Saccharomyces cerevisiae S288C: one gene and its partners. The gene in region 3 interacts genetically with the main gene of each other region. Each region holds a gene or a part of one and is shown on either strand. Other genes may lie near its edges.

What was found. Genes that interact genetically often act in the same process or in processes that back each other up.
Region 1: mutations in YBL055C (region 3) and YAT1 together harm fitness more than expected from each alone (negative genetic interaction), as found in Saccharomyces cerevisiae (one large-scale study listed by BioGRID).
Region 2: mutations in YBL055C (region 3) and YGR210C together harm fitness more than expected from each alone (negative genetic interaction), as found in Saccharomyces cerevisiae (one large-scale study listed by BioGRID).

The regions. Positions count from the first base shown.
Region 1 is NC_001133.9:188,344-192,756, forward strand, and holds YAT1 (carnitine O-acetyltransferase YAT1), read left to right. Parts: upstream 1-1,849; coding exon 1,850-3,913; downstream 3,914-4,413. Other genes in the region: DUP240 family protein MST28, read left to right, coding at 1-468; YAR035C-A (uncharacterized protein), read right to left, coding at 3,994-4,074; oxysterol-binding protein related protein SWH1, read left to right, coding at 4,276-4,413. UniProt on the Saccharomyces cerevisiae protein: Involved in the transfer of acetyl-CoA into mitochondria. May also be involved in the metabolism of acetate and of ethanol.
Region 2 is NC_001139.9:913,003-916,690, reverse strand, and holds YGR210C (uncharacterized protein), read left to right. Parts: upstream 1-1,952; coding exon 1,953-3,188; downstream 3,189-3,688. Other genes in the region: zinc finger-containing protein ZPR1, read right to left, coding at 1-1,450; thioredoxin TRX2, read left to right, coding at 3,464-3,688.
Region 3 is NC_001134.8:112,684-120,403, reverse strand, and holds YBL055C (3'-5'-exodeoxyribonuclease), read left to right. Parts: upstream 1-3,574; coding exon 3,575-4,831; downstream 4,832-7,720. Other genes in the region: SAS3 (histone acetyltransferase), read left to right, coding at 1-1,025; TOD6 (Tod6p), read right to left, coding at 1,238-2,815; type 2C protein phosphatase PTC3, read right to left, coding at 5,236-6,642; PTH2 (aminoacyl-tRNA hydrolase), read left to right, coding at 6,977-7,603; protein phosphatase regulator SHP1, read right to left, coding at 7,696-7,720. UniProt on the Saccharomyces cerevisiae protein: Has both endo- and exonuclease activities. Incises double-stranded DNA without obvious specificity via its endonuclease activity and excises the DNA from the 3'-to 5'-end by its exonuclease activity. May have a role in apoptosis.

The DNA of each region.
Region 1 (4,413 bases), on a different chromosome or scaffold from region 3:
ATATTTGCTTTTACTTCTCTTGTAGGTTTGTTAATAATATTAAGTGATGGTAATCCAAAGCTAGTCAGTCGTCGAAATTTTAGGACCGAGCTTTTAGTGGATGTCATCACACGTAAACCGGCGGTAGAAGGGAAAGAATGGAGGATCATCACATACAACATGAACCAATATTTGTTTAATCATGGGCAATGGCATACTCCGTATTACTTTTACAGCGATGAGGATTGCTACCGTTATTTTCTACGCCTTGTTGAGGGAGTAACCCCCAAGAAGCAAACAGCCACGTCAATTGGCAATTCTCCGGTCACCGCTAAGCCTGAAGATGCCATCGAGTCAGCTTCTCCTAGTTCCAGACTGAATTATCAAAACTTTTTGCTCAAGGCAGCGGAGATCGAACGACAAGCTCAGGAAAATTACTGGCGAAGGCGGCATCCCAATATCGATGCGCTTCTTAAAAAGACGGAATAGCTTAGAGACACTACCATACGTAAAGCGAACATAAACTAGAGTATGATATATAATCAGCACTAACTGGCCGGAAAACGGCCGAAGGAAGCCTCGAAAAGTCGATTCGTGTTGGACCCATTTGCTGAACAAAGTGGTTCATTGCCTACCTATTATGGTAGTAGTCGTGATAATCGTGTGGTTGGTTTTGTCAACGGTGCATTTGCATTTTCATGACAATAAACCTTGCGTTTTCGTTCTCGGGATATTACTTTCCCTCCACTTCTTTCGCCTCAATAGCTCCTATAAGCATTCTCAGGGCGTATGTCGGTGATCGAGATTTCCAAGCAAGCTTTTAGTGGAAATCATCGCGCGCAAGCCAGCGGTAAAGGGAAAAGAACGGAGGACGATTACATACAAGATGAACGAATAAATAAATTAATAATAAATAATAATAAAAAGTACAGTAGCATTAAATATTATTAAGTTTAATGATTAAAAATTGGTTAATTGTCAAGAAAATCTAAGGTATTAATAAATAAATAATACTATGACAACTTGCAGCGAAAGCATCAGCCCCAATGAAAATTAATCAGAATTGAATCTGAGCGTATTTATTTGATAACGGTTTACGTAACTGTTGGAATAAAAATCAACTATCATCTACTAACTAGTGTTTACGTTACTAGTATATTATCATATACGGTGTTAGAAGATGACGCAAATGATGAGAAATAGTCATCGTTTTCAACGGAAGCTGAAATACAAGGATTGATAATGTAATAGGATCAATGAATATCAACATATAAAACGATGATAATAATATTTATAGAATTGTGTAGAATTGCAGATTCCCTTTTATGGATTCCTAAATCCTCGAGAAGAACTTCTAGTATATCTACGTACCTAATATTATTGCCTTATTAAAAATGGAATCCCAACAATTATCTCAAAATTCCCCCAATTCTCATCAGTAACACCCCACCCCGTATTACTTTTACCGTGATGAAGATTGGCATCGTTACTTTCTAAACGTAGGACGTGCGGAATGACAAAACCATCAGCAGTGTCACGATCTCTCCAGTCACAATGGCAATCATGAGTGCATAGTCCAAAGTAAAGGGGCAAGGAAAAGCATGATTGAAAGGACTCCCCATCTGGACTCTATATGTCATCAGCGGCTAAAAAAAAGCATATAGCACAACATCAGCATCAGCATCAGCACTAGAGTCATCGGCCCGGCGGTCCGCGGTCATCCCCGCGGACTTTCCGTCCGCCCGGCGGGCTGTATCAGCGTCAACTGGAACGCGCATATATATACAAGACACACATAACATAGAAGCACACCCACGACAATAACCACACGACAATAACCACACCCGCCCACCCCTCCTTTCCGTATACAATGCCAAACTTAAAGAGACTACCCATCCCGCCACTGCAGGACACGCTCAACCGCTACCTGGCACGCGTGGAACCCCTGCAGGACGAGCGCCAAAACCGCCGTACGCGCCGCACTGTGCTCTCCGCAGAAAACCTGGACGCATTGAACACGCTGCACGAGCGGCTGCTAGAATACGACGCACGGCTCGCGGAAAGCAACCCAGAGTCCTCATACATCGAGCAGTTCTGGTATGACGCGTACTTGCTATATGATGCAACTGTCGTTCTCAACGTCAACCCGTACTTCCAACTGCAGGACGACCCAACCATCAAAGACACACCAGAGACGGCGGCACAGGGCCCCTATGGCGCACACACGGTGCAGGTTCGTCGTGCCGCACGACTCACCACCTCTATTCTCAAGTTCATCCGCCAGATTCGCCACGGCACACTCCGCACAGACACTGTGCGCGGCAAAACGCCGCTGTCGATGGACCAGTATGAGCGGCTATTCGGCTCCAGTAGAATCCCTCCGGGTCCCGGCGAGCCCTCTTGCCACTTGCAAACAGACGCCACGTCGCATCACGTGGTGGCGATGTATCGTGGCCAGTTCTACTGGTTCGACGTGCTGGACACACGCAACGAGCCCATCTTCGCCACCCCAGAACAACTGGAGTGGAACCTCTACTCGATCATCATGGACGCGGAATCCGCCGGAAGCGGATCCGCGCCCTTTGGCGTGTTCACCACAGAGTCGCGCCGGGTGTGGTCCAACATCAGGGACTATCTGTTCCATGCGGACGACTGCACCAACTGGCGCAATCTCAAGCTGATCGACTCCGCGCTGTTCGTGGTCTGTCTCGACGACGTGGCGTTTGCCGCCGATCAGCAGGACGAGCTCACGCGTTCGATGCTGTGCGGGACTTCTACCATCAATCTCGACCCGCACCAACACCAGCCGCCATTGAACGTGCAGACAGGCACCTGTCTCAACCGCTGGTACGACAAGTTACAACTGATCGTGACCAAGAACGGTAAGGCGGGCATCAACTTCGAACACACCGGTGTGGACGGCCACACTGTGCTGCGGCTCGCCACAGACATCTACACAGACTCGATCCTGAGCTTCGCACGCGGTGTCACCAAGAACGTCGTCGACATCTTTAGCGACGACGATGGAAAACCATCGTCGTCGTCGTTGGCCTCGGCGGCTCACTCCGCCAACTTGATCACCATCCCTCGTAAACTGGAATGGCGCACTGACAATTTCCTGCAATCGTCGCTGCACTTTGCCGAGACGCGCATCTCGGACTTGATCTCGCAATACGAGTTTGTTAATCTTGACTTCTCCAACTACGGCGCGTCCCATATCAAGACAGTGTTCAAGTGCTCGCCAGACGCCTTCGTGCAGCAGGTGTTCCAGGTCGCATACTTCGCGTTGTACGGTCGCTTCGAGACCGTGTACGAGCCTGCCATGACCAAGGCGTTCCAAAACGGCCGCACAGAGGCCATCCGCTCCGTCACGGGCCAATCGAAGCTCTTTGTCAAGTCACTACTGGACCAGGATGCCTCGGACGCCACCAAAATTCAGCTCTTGCACGACGCCTGTACGGCGCACTCGCAAATCACAAGGGAATGCTCCCAGGGGCTCGGCCAGGACCGTCACTTGTATGCGCTCTACTGCCTCTGGAACCAATGGTACAAGGACAAGTTGGAGCTCCCACCCATCTTCCGCGACAAGTCCTGGACTACCATGCAGAACAACGTCTTGAGCACCTCCAACTGCGGTAACCCCTGCCTCAAGAGCTTCGGGTTCGGGCCTGTCACCGCCAACGGCTTCGGCATCGGCTACATCATCAGAGACCACTCCGTCTCTGTGGTGGTGTCCTCAAGGCATCGCCAGACTGCTCGGTTTGCGTCGCTCATGGAAAAGTCGCTGCTGGAGATCGACCGCATCTTCAAACGGCAGCAAGCTCGCGCAGCAAAACCCGCTGCCAGGACCACTGCTAGCGCCAACACCAAATCAGAAGACATGAAATACCTGTTGTCCGGCTACGATTACTTCGACGTGAGCGTGTCCGGTTGAGTTTATGCTGAGTTTTTGCGCATCAATATTATTTTTACTACTACTACTACTACTACTACTACTACATACTATTAAATATACTAAATAAGAGGAAAACGCTTTGGAAGTGACTGGCGCCGCCGCTGGCTACTATAATAGCAGCGACTGTAATTTAATCTCATCCCGTCGTTTGGATTACCTCTTTTACTCGCCGAGCGAACGTGCACCAAAAAGGGAAAGGAAAAAAAGAAAAAAAAAGGAAAAAGGAAACTCAAAACTTGGATAAATAGAAGCACTCAAACTAAATTAAACTGCCAAAAAAAAAAAAAATAAAAAGGGAAAAGTTTAAACATCAAAGTACACCTTTCACCCCTCCACACACCATGGAACAACCTGATCTATCGTCTGTGGCCATCAGTAAGCCGCTGCTGAAGTTGAAACTTCTCGACGCCCTTCGCCAGGGAAGTTTCCCCAACCTACAAGATCTCCTAAAGAAACAATTCCAGCCGCTAGACGACCCA
Region 2 (3,688 bases), on a different chromosome or scaffold from region 3:
TGATATCGGACAATCCCAGGTCTTCATTTTGCTCTTTAGTTCTTTCATAATCTTCGATAGTCATGTTTGGATCCGGATCTGGGGCGTAGACATTTTGTATGTACGACCCGGCCAATGGATCTTCCATAATGACTGTGAACTTGACTTTCCCAGCGATGGCCTCCTTTAGCTTGGCAAAAAATTCTACCCAGCGGGCTTTCGTTGCTTCGTCCATGGAATCCGAAGTTTGAGTGAAAATACGGGATTCTAGTTCTTCGTAGACTTGTCTTAGTAAACCTTCCAAAGTGGTGAATCTACCACCCAATGTACCTTCTTGAATATCAAGATGTAATTCAGGAATTACCATACTACAGGTCTCAGATTTCAAAATATCACGGGACAAGTCAGCTGCATCGTCACAGTATAAAGTAATCCTTCTTCCTTTGTCAGGGATGGCACCACCGGTCTTCACCTCATTAGACTTATAACCACAATGATCGCAGACCGTCGACATGATAATGACTTCTTTAAAGTGTGGGATATTTACTGGCTTCATATGAGTTTCACACTCTTGGGTACACGATGGACAAGAAGCTCTGAATGTTTGCACCTCGTTGTTAAAGTTTTCGATGTCGGTGGCGTCTGACAAAAACTGTGGGTTTGCTGAGCCAACTTTGACAGATTCAGAAGGATTTCTTTCACGGTTGGCCAATTGTTTTAATTGTTCTTGGCGACGTTGCTCCAACTGGTCTCTAGTAATAATGCCAACTTGAACGTTTTGTTCGTCGGTTCTCACGTACTGGGTATGAGACCATTTGTGTTGAGGTTCACCGGGTTTGTATTCGATCCAGGAATTTCCCGCAGGATCATCCAAAATAAATGTAATCGGAATAGTGTTGGGTTCACAATTGATGTAGGATTTAACTTTCTGTATGAAGTCATCGATCTTCTTGTAAAGAGCTTCGTCTATAGATTTTCTCATTTCCTGGTCTTGCGACAGATCGTCGATCATCTCGGATAACAAACCTTCAACTGTCGTCAATTGACCTCTCTTAGCAGGAATCTCAATGTCTAGCTCGACAAACTTACAAGTGGCAGTTTCTGACTTAATAACTTGCCTGTTAAAATCTTCACGGCACTCCACTTTCAAAACGTAACGAGAGCCCTTCTCTTGAATTTGAGAAGCGGGTTGGATCTCACAGTTCTTAAACCCACAGTGAGGACAGTCGAATGACATAATAATTATTTCTCTGAAATAAGGGATGGAAGTCAGAAGAAGTCTGGTTGTACCGTTCTTTCCACAATTCATACAAAGAGACTCTATCTCTTGCACTGGATGGCCCATGGCGTCCTGTGCGCCGGTTAACTTGACGCCGTCATTAGCTTTGTTCTGTTCGGCTATGCTTTCATCTTCGACCTCTGCAGCAGCTTCTCCTACTGGTTTAAACAAATCTTCCTTTTGTTCGCTCATTATTTTCTATCCTATTTCTTAACGGTATAGGTATAATATGTATCTCTGTGTATATATGCGACTAGCTATTGCTAACGATGCGAACCTACCCGATAACGCTATGATTTCCTTTGCGTTGAACATCATAGCATTATAAATGTGCATCTCATCGCTGAAAAATTTTCGTCAACTATAAACTTTTAGGATATTCTAGCCCTGATGGGGCTAGAATATTCTAGAAAACTCCAGAGGGTTTCGGCACAATTTATTGTAGGGTTAGTAAGGGCTTTTTTATCAAGGTGAAAAATTCACTCGATGCCTTTTTTTTTTTTTCTCGAATAGATAGATATGCAAGAAATGTAATGCTATGCAGTGCAAAACAGATGTGTAAGTGTTCTAGGATGAATTGTAATGAGAGTTGGTTTTATTTTCATTTTGCGTTTTCGTTTTCCGTCTTTTAGCTTTTGTCCAACTAACTTGTAGTATAAGCTGTCTGTAAGAATAAAACGGAAATAGAGCCAGTATGCCCAGGGATCCATTGATTGGTATTGTGGGTAAGCCATCTTCAGGGAAATCCACCACATTAAATTCTTTGACGGACGCAGGTGCGGCGGTAGGAGCATTTCCCTTTACCACGATCGAGCCAAATCAGGCAACCGGCTACTTGCAAGTTGAGTGTGCTTGCTCCAGATTTGGCAAGGAAGATCTTTGTAAACCTAACTACGGGTGGTGTAGCAAGGGTAAGAGGCATATCCCCATCAAACTGTTGGATGTGGCAGGGCTTGTGCCTGGAGCGCATTCCGGCAGAGGGCTTGGAAATAAATTCTTGGATGATTTAAGACACGCAGATGCTCTTATTCATGTGGTGGACGTTAGTGGAACCACAGATGCAGAGGGGAAGAACACAAGAGGATATGATCCATTGAACGATATAGAATGGCTGCAAGACGAAATCAGGCTTTGGGTTGAGGGGAACCTGAAGAAAAGATGGGGGTCTATTGTGCGTAAACATACAGCAACGAAATCTAGCATAGTGGACACACTTCAAGCGCAATTCGGTGGGTACGGTTCACATGCGCCCATGATCCAAAAAGCCCTGGACAGGTTGAAGGGACTACCACCTTTGGAAAAATGGGATGACGAATGGATCACTCGAGTGGTCAAGTCCTTTATGATGGAGAAATTTCCAACTGTGTTGGCACTCAACAAGATTGACCACCCTGACGCCGATAAAAATGTTTCTAAAATCATGCTAAAGTATCCTGACACCAAAGCTGTACTGACCAGTGCAGTGACGGAAGTTTTTTTGAGGAAATTGAAAAAGCAAGGTTTTATATTATACGAGGAGGGCACGGAATTTGTTGACACATTTGAGGACGAGCCAGACAAACTAAAGCCACTGGACGACAAGATCCTTAACAGAATTGAAAATATCAGAGATTTGGTCCTGTATAGATTCGGATCTACGGGTGTTGTTCAGGTTCTGCAAGCAGCAACGGACATCCTTGGTCTAATACCGGTGTACACTGTGAAGAACATCCAGACTTTTACGGGTGGCAACGGAACCAACGTATTTAGAGATTGTTTTTTGGTCAAGCGAGGAACCCCTGTTGGCAAAGTTGCCAGGTATATCATGGGTGGCGAGGTCACCATTGCAAGCATTGAAACCGTTGGCGGCGTGAGAGTCAGTGAAGAAAGTCTTGTTGAGCCCGGTAAGAATGACATACTCGGCTTCAAGATCGCTCCAAGATCAGCATAACTTGAGTGCCAGTGAATATTAAGTAATCATCAAAGTATATGTGTAATTGTTTATACTCTTAGTAAAGGATGCTCCCTACAAGGTGGCTCTTTTCTTACTAAGCGCGTTCAGTTTCCAGCCAGCCGAAAGAGGGATATCAGTATATAAGAAAGCCATTCGGGGGATGAAAAGCTGACAAGAGAATAACGAGGACCAGTTTTTATTTGTTGTCTAGCAAGAATTATACACGCACACATACACGAGAGTCTACGATATCTTTAAATAACACATCAATAATGGTCACTCAATTAAAATCCGCTTCTGAATACGACAGTGCTTTAGCATCTGGCGACAAGTTAGTCGTTGTTGACTTTTTTGCCACATGGTGTGGGCCATGTAAAATGATTGCACCAATGATTGAAAAGTTTGCAGAACAATATTCTGACGCTGCTTTTTACAAGTTGGATGTTGATGAAGTCTCAGATGTTGCTCAAAAAGCTGAAGTTTCTTCCATGCCTACC
Region 3 (7,720 bases):
AAGATACTTTTCAGCAGGTTAGCCTAAACGATATCGCTAAACTAACAGGAATGATACCAACAGACGTTGTGTTTGGATTGGAACAACTTCAAGTTTTGTATCGCCATAAAACACGCTCATTATCCAGTTTGGATGATTTCAACTATATTATTAAAATCGATTCTTGGAACAGGATTGAAAATATTTACAAAACTTGGAGCTCAAAAAACTATCCTCGCGTCAAATATGACAAACTATTGTGGGAACCTATTATATTAGGGCCGTCATTTGGTATAAATGGGATGATGAACTTAGAACCCACCGCATTAGCGGACGAAGCTCTTACAAATGAAACTATGGCTCCGGTAATTTCGAATAACACACATATAGAAAACTATAACAACAGTAGAGCACATAATAAACGCAGAAGAAGAAGAAGAAGAAGTAGTGAGCACAAAACATCCAAGCTTCATGTAAACAATATCATAGAACCGGAAGTACCTGCTACTGATTTTTTTGAAGACACTGTTTCCTCCTTAACAGAGTATATGTGTGATTATAAGAACACAAATAATGATAGATTAATCTATCAAGCGGAAAAAAGAGTGCTGGAAAGCATCCATGATCGCAAAGGGATACCAAGATCAAAATTTAGTACAGAAACTCATTGGGAGCTCTGCTTCACTATTAAAAACTCCGAAACACCACTTGGAAATCATGCAGCTAGGAGAAACGATACTGGAATATCAAGTTTAGAGCAGGATGAAGTAGAAAACGATGTAGATACTGAATTATATGTAGGTGAAAACGCCAAAGAAGATGAAGACGAAGACGAAGACTTTACCCTTGATGATGACATTGAGGATGAGCAAATATCAGAAGAAAATGATGAGGAGGAAGACACATATGAAGAAGACAGTGATGATGATGAGGATGGGAAGAGAAAAGGACAAGAGCAGGATGAAAACGATATAGAAAGCCACATAAGGAAGGAGAGAGTCAGAAAAAGAAGAAAAATAACTCTAATAGAGGATGACGAAGAATAAGCGGCGATGGGTATATATTGGATATAAGCATATACATGTAACATTATTAATAGCAATAAGAACCCTTGTAGTCAATAGTATTACAGAATTCTCCTACGAATAAATTTTATGTGTATATATAAAGATATATATGTGTGTGTGTACATGTGTGGGTGCGATTAATTTGTACTCATTAAACGAATAGTCAAAACAAACTAAATTCGTCTCTTAGCTTAAAATATATTTTTAAAGATAGAATTTATACCTGGAAGTTCATCTTGCTCATTGCGTATGTCATTTGCGCTGGTCATAGAAGAAAGCTCACTAGACTTTGGATTATCATGTTTAGCCTCTAACATACCGTAATTTTGCGATTGCTGCGATGGCGTGTTAATGCCATTCTCCTTGTGCAGTGGGTCAATGTCATCCTCCTCCTCCTCGTCTTTGCATCCTTCATTTGTATGAAAACCACTTACACGTCCTTTTCTCTTTAAATAATCCATTCTTTGTTGGATTTCCAACTCGGATCTATTATTAGGCAGAACAATAGAAATTTCTAGCGGCGACAAATGGTTTTGTTTGTCCTTCGTATTGTTAAGTAGCACTTCATCATCTTCTCTAGACCACGGGTGTTTATTAGCGAATTTTTGCATATCTAAGAAAGTCCTCGTGTGCGTGATTTTGTCATTTGCGTGGTCTGTCTTGCAGTTGGGAGACGCTATGGGGTTAAGATAGTATTGGTGCTGTGGATGATAATGAACGGATTGCGATGTAGATAACCTTCTGGGTGACATATACGGGCTAACTACCAAGGAAGCTCTTCTAGAAATAGGCTCCGTAGGAGCGTGAGAGTTGAAGGATGATCTTCTTGAATGCATCATGTTAAAAGATGATCTTCTAGAAGAAATTACGGAATGCGAGTTTTTCCTAGTCTTCGTCGTTGAATGAGGGATTTGAGTTGAAGGAATAAAGGAGTTCCTTCTAGACCTGATAATAATTTTAGGCACAAGACCAATATTCTCATAATCATTGGAATTAACAGCTTTATTTGTCTTTGCTGAAGTAGTGTTATAAAGGCTTAGATTTGTCTGCTGAGCAGTCTTTACATTAGGCGTGTTGGTTGTTATAGAATGAGAGAAGGACCTTGGCTTAACAAACAGTTTCCTTGGTTTCGTGTGTTGTGGCTCATGGTCCGAAAATGTTGATGTAGATCTTTGAGTTATCAGTTTTCTGTCCATGTATTTAGGCTTAACTAATGGCTTGAAATCCGGTGGAGAATCCTCGATAGCACTAGAACCTGCAGTAATATCTTCATCCTCAACAGCTTCCTCTTTTACGGCTTCTTCCGCAGACGGAGTACCCGCGGATGGGGTAGCATCACCAGTCGCATACACGCCGAATAGCTTATTGATGTCAATAACTGCGGTCTTGTTAGACTTTAAGTTGCCTGATTTCAGTCTCCTCCATCTGAATTGACAAGCGTTAGGAGTTCTATTTGGGAAATGATGTGCAATCTCCTTCCAGCCCAAGTTCTTGATCTCTTTCAGGTGGCGGAGCTTGATATCATCACTAGGGTCCCAAGAAGAGGGGTTGTTTTTTTTGAGTGATTCCGCCTCCTCCTTGTTCGTGCTGTTCTCTTTAGTGCTAGTGCTACTGATAGGCAGGTGGCTCTTCGCATTTGTGTGAGAAAGTGAGTGGGAATGGACAAGATTATTTGGGTGAGGGTGTTTGCTTAGTATTGAGAAACCATGTGAGTTGGCACTAACATGTCCTGATGAAACAGAAACGCTACTGAGTTTCGGCAACGTCATCGCGAGGGAACTTCAATAAGAACAGTGATATATTCTTTTCTCTACCCACTGTCGTGTATATGCCTTCTTGAGTGAGTAGTTTTAATGACTCAAGCAGTGGAGATTTGCCAGATTTGTTTACCTGAAAACAAAATGATATGAAAAGCCTTTATTAATATCAACGTACAAAAACTATACACGACTTCTGTGTAAGGAAGTAGAAAAGTGTCTCATCGCATTGGTCTCGCATCTCATCGCATCGCATCTCATCTCAATTTTCAAATTTCAGCTCTCAGCAGAGAAAAAATTTTTTTTTCACCGGACCAAAAATAGCCTCTCTCACCCACAGATAACGTCGCACACTAACAAGATGATGAGACAAGATAGGCCAAACCGCTCAAAAAGGAACTCGAAGAAGAACGGAAGTGGAGTTTAACTTTAGAACCTAACTGCTACTAAGTGTTGATACGCTAGGCAAGACACCTGCGAAATCCCGCTGCGAAATACCTGCAAAGAGGTTGCTAAACAGCAGCCAGAAGACTTGCGCTAGTAACGTTCCTGAAAAGCTTTGCACTGCAGGCATTTCTGAGCCTTTTCCGGCCTTCTAGAAGGCTTAGCCCCTACTAACGCCGGGTTACTTAGAACAGCACTCTTCTAAGAACAATCTTTCCAGCATGCTGGAAGGGCCCAGTGGTGATGTCCTGGTAGCAATGGACAACTAAAGGTGGACACTTTCGCTGCCAAGGCATTTTTTTGAGGCGCCAGTACTGTTATAGTTATATGTGGGGCATCTTATTGAAATCCTCGAACAAAAGTTGTTCTAGGCTCTGGAAACCAATTTTGACACAATATTATAGCATGACATCAACTGCCACGGATTCTCCGCTGAAATACTATGATATTGGATTGAATCTGACAGATCCTATGTTTCACGGTATTTACAATGGTAAGCAGTACCATCCAGCAGATTATGTAAAATTATTAGAGCGTGCTGCTCAGAGGCACGTGAAAAATGCCCTTGTTACAGGATCATCCATAGCGGAGTCTCAAAGTGCCATTGAGTTGGTAAGCAGCGTCAAAGATCTTAGCCCGTTAAAGCTGTATCACACAATAGGTGTTCACCCATGTTGCGTTAACGAGTTTGCGGATGCTAGTCAAGGGGACAAGGCTAGCGCTTCTATTGATAACCCTTCCATGGATGAAGCATATAATGAGTCTCTATATGCTAAAGTTATTAGTAATCCATCTTTTGCACAGGGTAAACTGAAAGAGCTTTATGATTTGATGAATCAGCAAGCAAAACCTCATGATACAAGTTTCAGGTCAATTGGTGAGATCGGGTTGGACTACGACAGATTTCACTATAGTTCTAAAGAGATGCAAAAGGTTTTTTTTGAAGAGCAACTGAAAATAAGTTGTTTGAACGATAAACTCAGCAGCTATCCATTGTTTCTGCATATGAGAAGCGCATGTGACGATTTTGTTCAAATATTGGAAAGATTTATTGCCGGGTTCACTGATGAGAGGGATACCTTTCAGCTACAAAAGTTAGGTGCATCGTCGTCTAGCGGGTTTTACAAATTTCATCCAGATAGAAAACTAGTGGTCCATTCATTCACTGGTTCTGCGATAGATTTGCAGAAATTACTGAACTTATCACCCAACATCTTCATAGGAGTAAACGGTTGCTCGTTGAGAACCGAGGAAAATCTAGCTGTTGTAAAGCAAATACCAACAGAAAGGTTGTTATTAGAGACAGATGCTCCGTGGTGTGAGATTAAAAGAACGCATGCATCTTTCCAGTACTTAGCCAAATACCAGGAGGTTAGGGATTTCGAATACCCTGCATTCAAGTCCGTTAAGAAAAATAAGCTCGCTGACAAGTTGAATGCAGAAGAACTTTACATGGTCAAGGGCCGTAATGAGCCTTGTAATATGGAACAAGTAGCAATTGTCGTATCGGAAGTCAAGGACGTGGATCTGGCTACTTTGATAGATACCACGTGGAAGACGACCTGTAAGATATTTGGAGAGTAACATCTATTGGTGCAAAGAGCAAAGTTACATTATTTTTAGTAAGTACACTAATTATGCTTAAACTATTAATAGGAAAATTATGGTGCGCATATACATACAGTCGATATTGCTTTCATTTTTTTTTTTTTTTTTTTTCTATTTTTTTCATCAAAAAGGATTCAAAGGTTACCAACAAAATAAAAACAGAGTAAGGAAAAACAGATGTATCTATATGAATAGGATTTATAAATTCTGTTACAATTTATCATTCTCTCGTAATGATTTTTATGAATTTCACCATCTCCTCAATATGGGCCGCAAAGATGATCCAGTAAAAAACAATCCATCGGCAGAAGAGGAATAACAAATAAAGATAACAAAGTTTGACTACTCTTTCGTTGCAAAGTACGGTTCGACAATATTTATTATTCAATTTCTTCAATCTTGGAACCCTTCTTCGCATTTTCATTCTTGCCGTTTTCTTCGCCGTCGTTATCATCGTTATCATCAGCATCATTAGGTTCTGTTTCTCCTGCAGCCGCATTGCTTAAAGATGCCAACATATCTGATAAAGAAGCACCATGGAAATAAGAAGTGTTGCCGTCACTGTCGGAGCTGGGCCTCTGCCTTATTTGAATCCCGGCTTCTAATAGAGCCTCCAACGAAAACAAGTCAATAGGGCCAGTTCTATCCTCACCTGATAACTTTGAGGGAGTAGCACTGCTGCCTAATTCGGTATCAAGATCATCAATTTCCATGTCGTCATTATCTTTACTACGATTCAAGCGGTCTTGTAATTTTTTGGTGGTTATTGCGAACACTTCGTTATCATCATCCGAAAAATCATGGAAATCAAAAATACTTTTCCTTCTTTGGACAAAAGACGTTTGGATATTGTAATTTTTTGATCTCATACGCTCAAACCATTGTGACTCAGATTCATTTTCCTTTAGTAAAGCAACAATGGAAATACTCATATTATCACAGCCAATTCCTGAGCCTTCAGTTGTGGGTGAACAACAAACATCTACGATTCTAGATGAAATGTCGCTCAACGTCATATTACCTTGACTTATACCGTAGTGAACCAAGTCAACACACTCTTGAGAAGTTAAACAATCCCAAATACCATCACATGCTAAAATAACAAATTCATCCTCATCATAATTCAAATTGTGACAAATGATATCAGGAACACATGTAACGACTTGCTCATGAGGTCCCAATTTTGTGTTAGATTTGAATTCAAAATCACCTATGGCTCTTGATAACGCTAAATTTCCATTAACACGGTCCATCTCAACAAAACCATCAGCAGCTACAATACGAGATTTTTCACTTAACAATGTGGGCTTATGATCAAATGACATTGCTTTACTATTACCACCAGTAGATAGAACTGTTCTACTATCACCGGAATTGGCGCAAATTAGTAGCTTTTTCAATTGAGATACCAATATCACAGTTGCTGTACAACCACTATGGTCATCTTTTAATTTTTCATCTTTCAACAACTCAACATCTGTAGCTAAAAAGGTATCTATTAAGCACTGCTCTAACATACCGCTCTTGAAGCTCTCCTGTTTTTTCAGTATAGATATCATTTTAGAGCCACAAAACTCCGCTACAGAAGAACCACCATGACCGTCAAATATACCATAAAATGCGAGATGTTCCTCGTCAGACTCAGCCAAAAGGTTCGGCTCAACAATATGGGCATCTTCCATGGACATACGCCAGCCTTGCATGGCACATAGTCCAAACGCTGTCAAACAGTCCGTACCAGAATGATGCTCTTTGTCGATAATTGGATTGGACAATATTTGACCCATGTTATCTCTCTCTTTCTTCGATTTGTCTTCTTGGCCTTCTTCGTCTGCCTATAATAGAAACTTCAAAAAGTAAAATGAATATAGTCTAAAAACAGAAAGGGGCCTTCCGGTGGCAACAATCGAGCCAACAAGCTCTAAACACCTTTTACTCCTTTGAGTTTATTCTCTTGAGGGACAACCCATGTTGTTTTTTCTTCAACTCGCTGATATCACGCCTGACGAAAATAATGTTTAAAGGTTATTACTACTCTTCTAGAAGCTCTTAAGCATAAGAGCTAATTGTTTCTTGCTATATTACTTGTTGACAGCGGAGTAACATGATAACGTCTTTTTAATGGAAAAGATGACAGTTTCTTCGAATTACACCATAGCTTTATGGGCTACTTTCACCGCAATCTCCTTTGCCGTGGGTTACCAGTTGGGTACGTCGAACGCATCATCAACTAAGAAATCCTCAGCTACTTTACTGCGTTCTAAAGAAATGAAGGAAGGAAAGCTACACAATGACACTGATGAGGAGGAAAGTGAAAGCGAAGATGAGAGCGATGAGGACGAAGATATTGAGTCCACTTCATTGAATGATATACCTGGAGAAGTTAGGATGGCATTGGTGATTCGTCAAGATCTTGGCATGACAAAGGGCAAAATAGCGGCACAATGCTGTCACGCAGCATTGTCATGTTTTAGACATATTGCTACAAACCCCGCGCGTGCTTCATACAACCCAATTATGACACAAAGATGGCTAAATGCTGGACAGGCTAAAATAACGTTGAAATGTCCAGATAAGTTTACAATGGACGAGTTGTATGCGAAGGCTATATCACTTGGGGTGAATGCAGCAGTTATTCATGATGCTGGTAGAACACAGATTGCTGCGGGAAGTGCCACCGTATTGGGTTTAGGACCTGCTCCAAAAGCAGTATTGGATCAAATAACAGGTGATTTGAAATTGTATTGAGGTACAAATGATATATACTACGGGTATAGATATACGTGCATTTATATATTAAGTTGAAGTCTTTTCCCGTTTCTGTTTTTGTATATTTATGCTCATGCCCATCTTTGCACGACAACG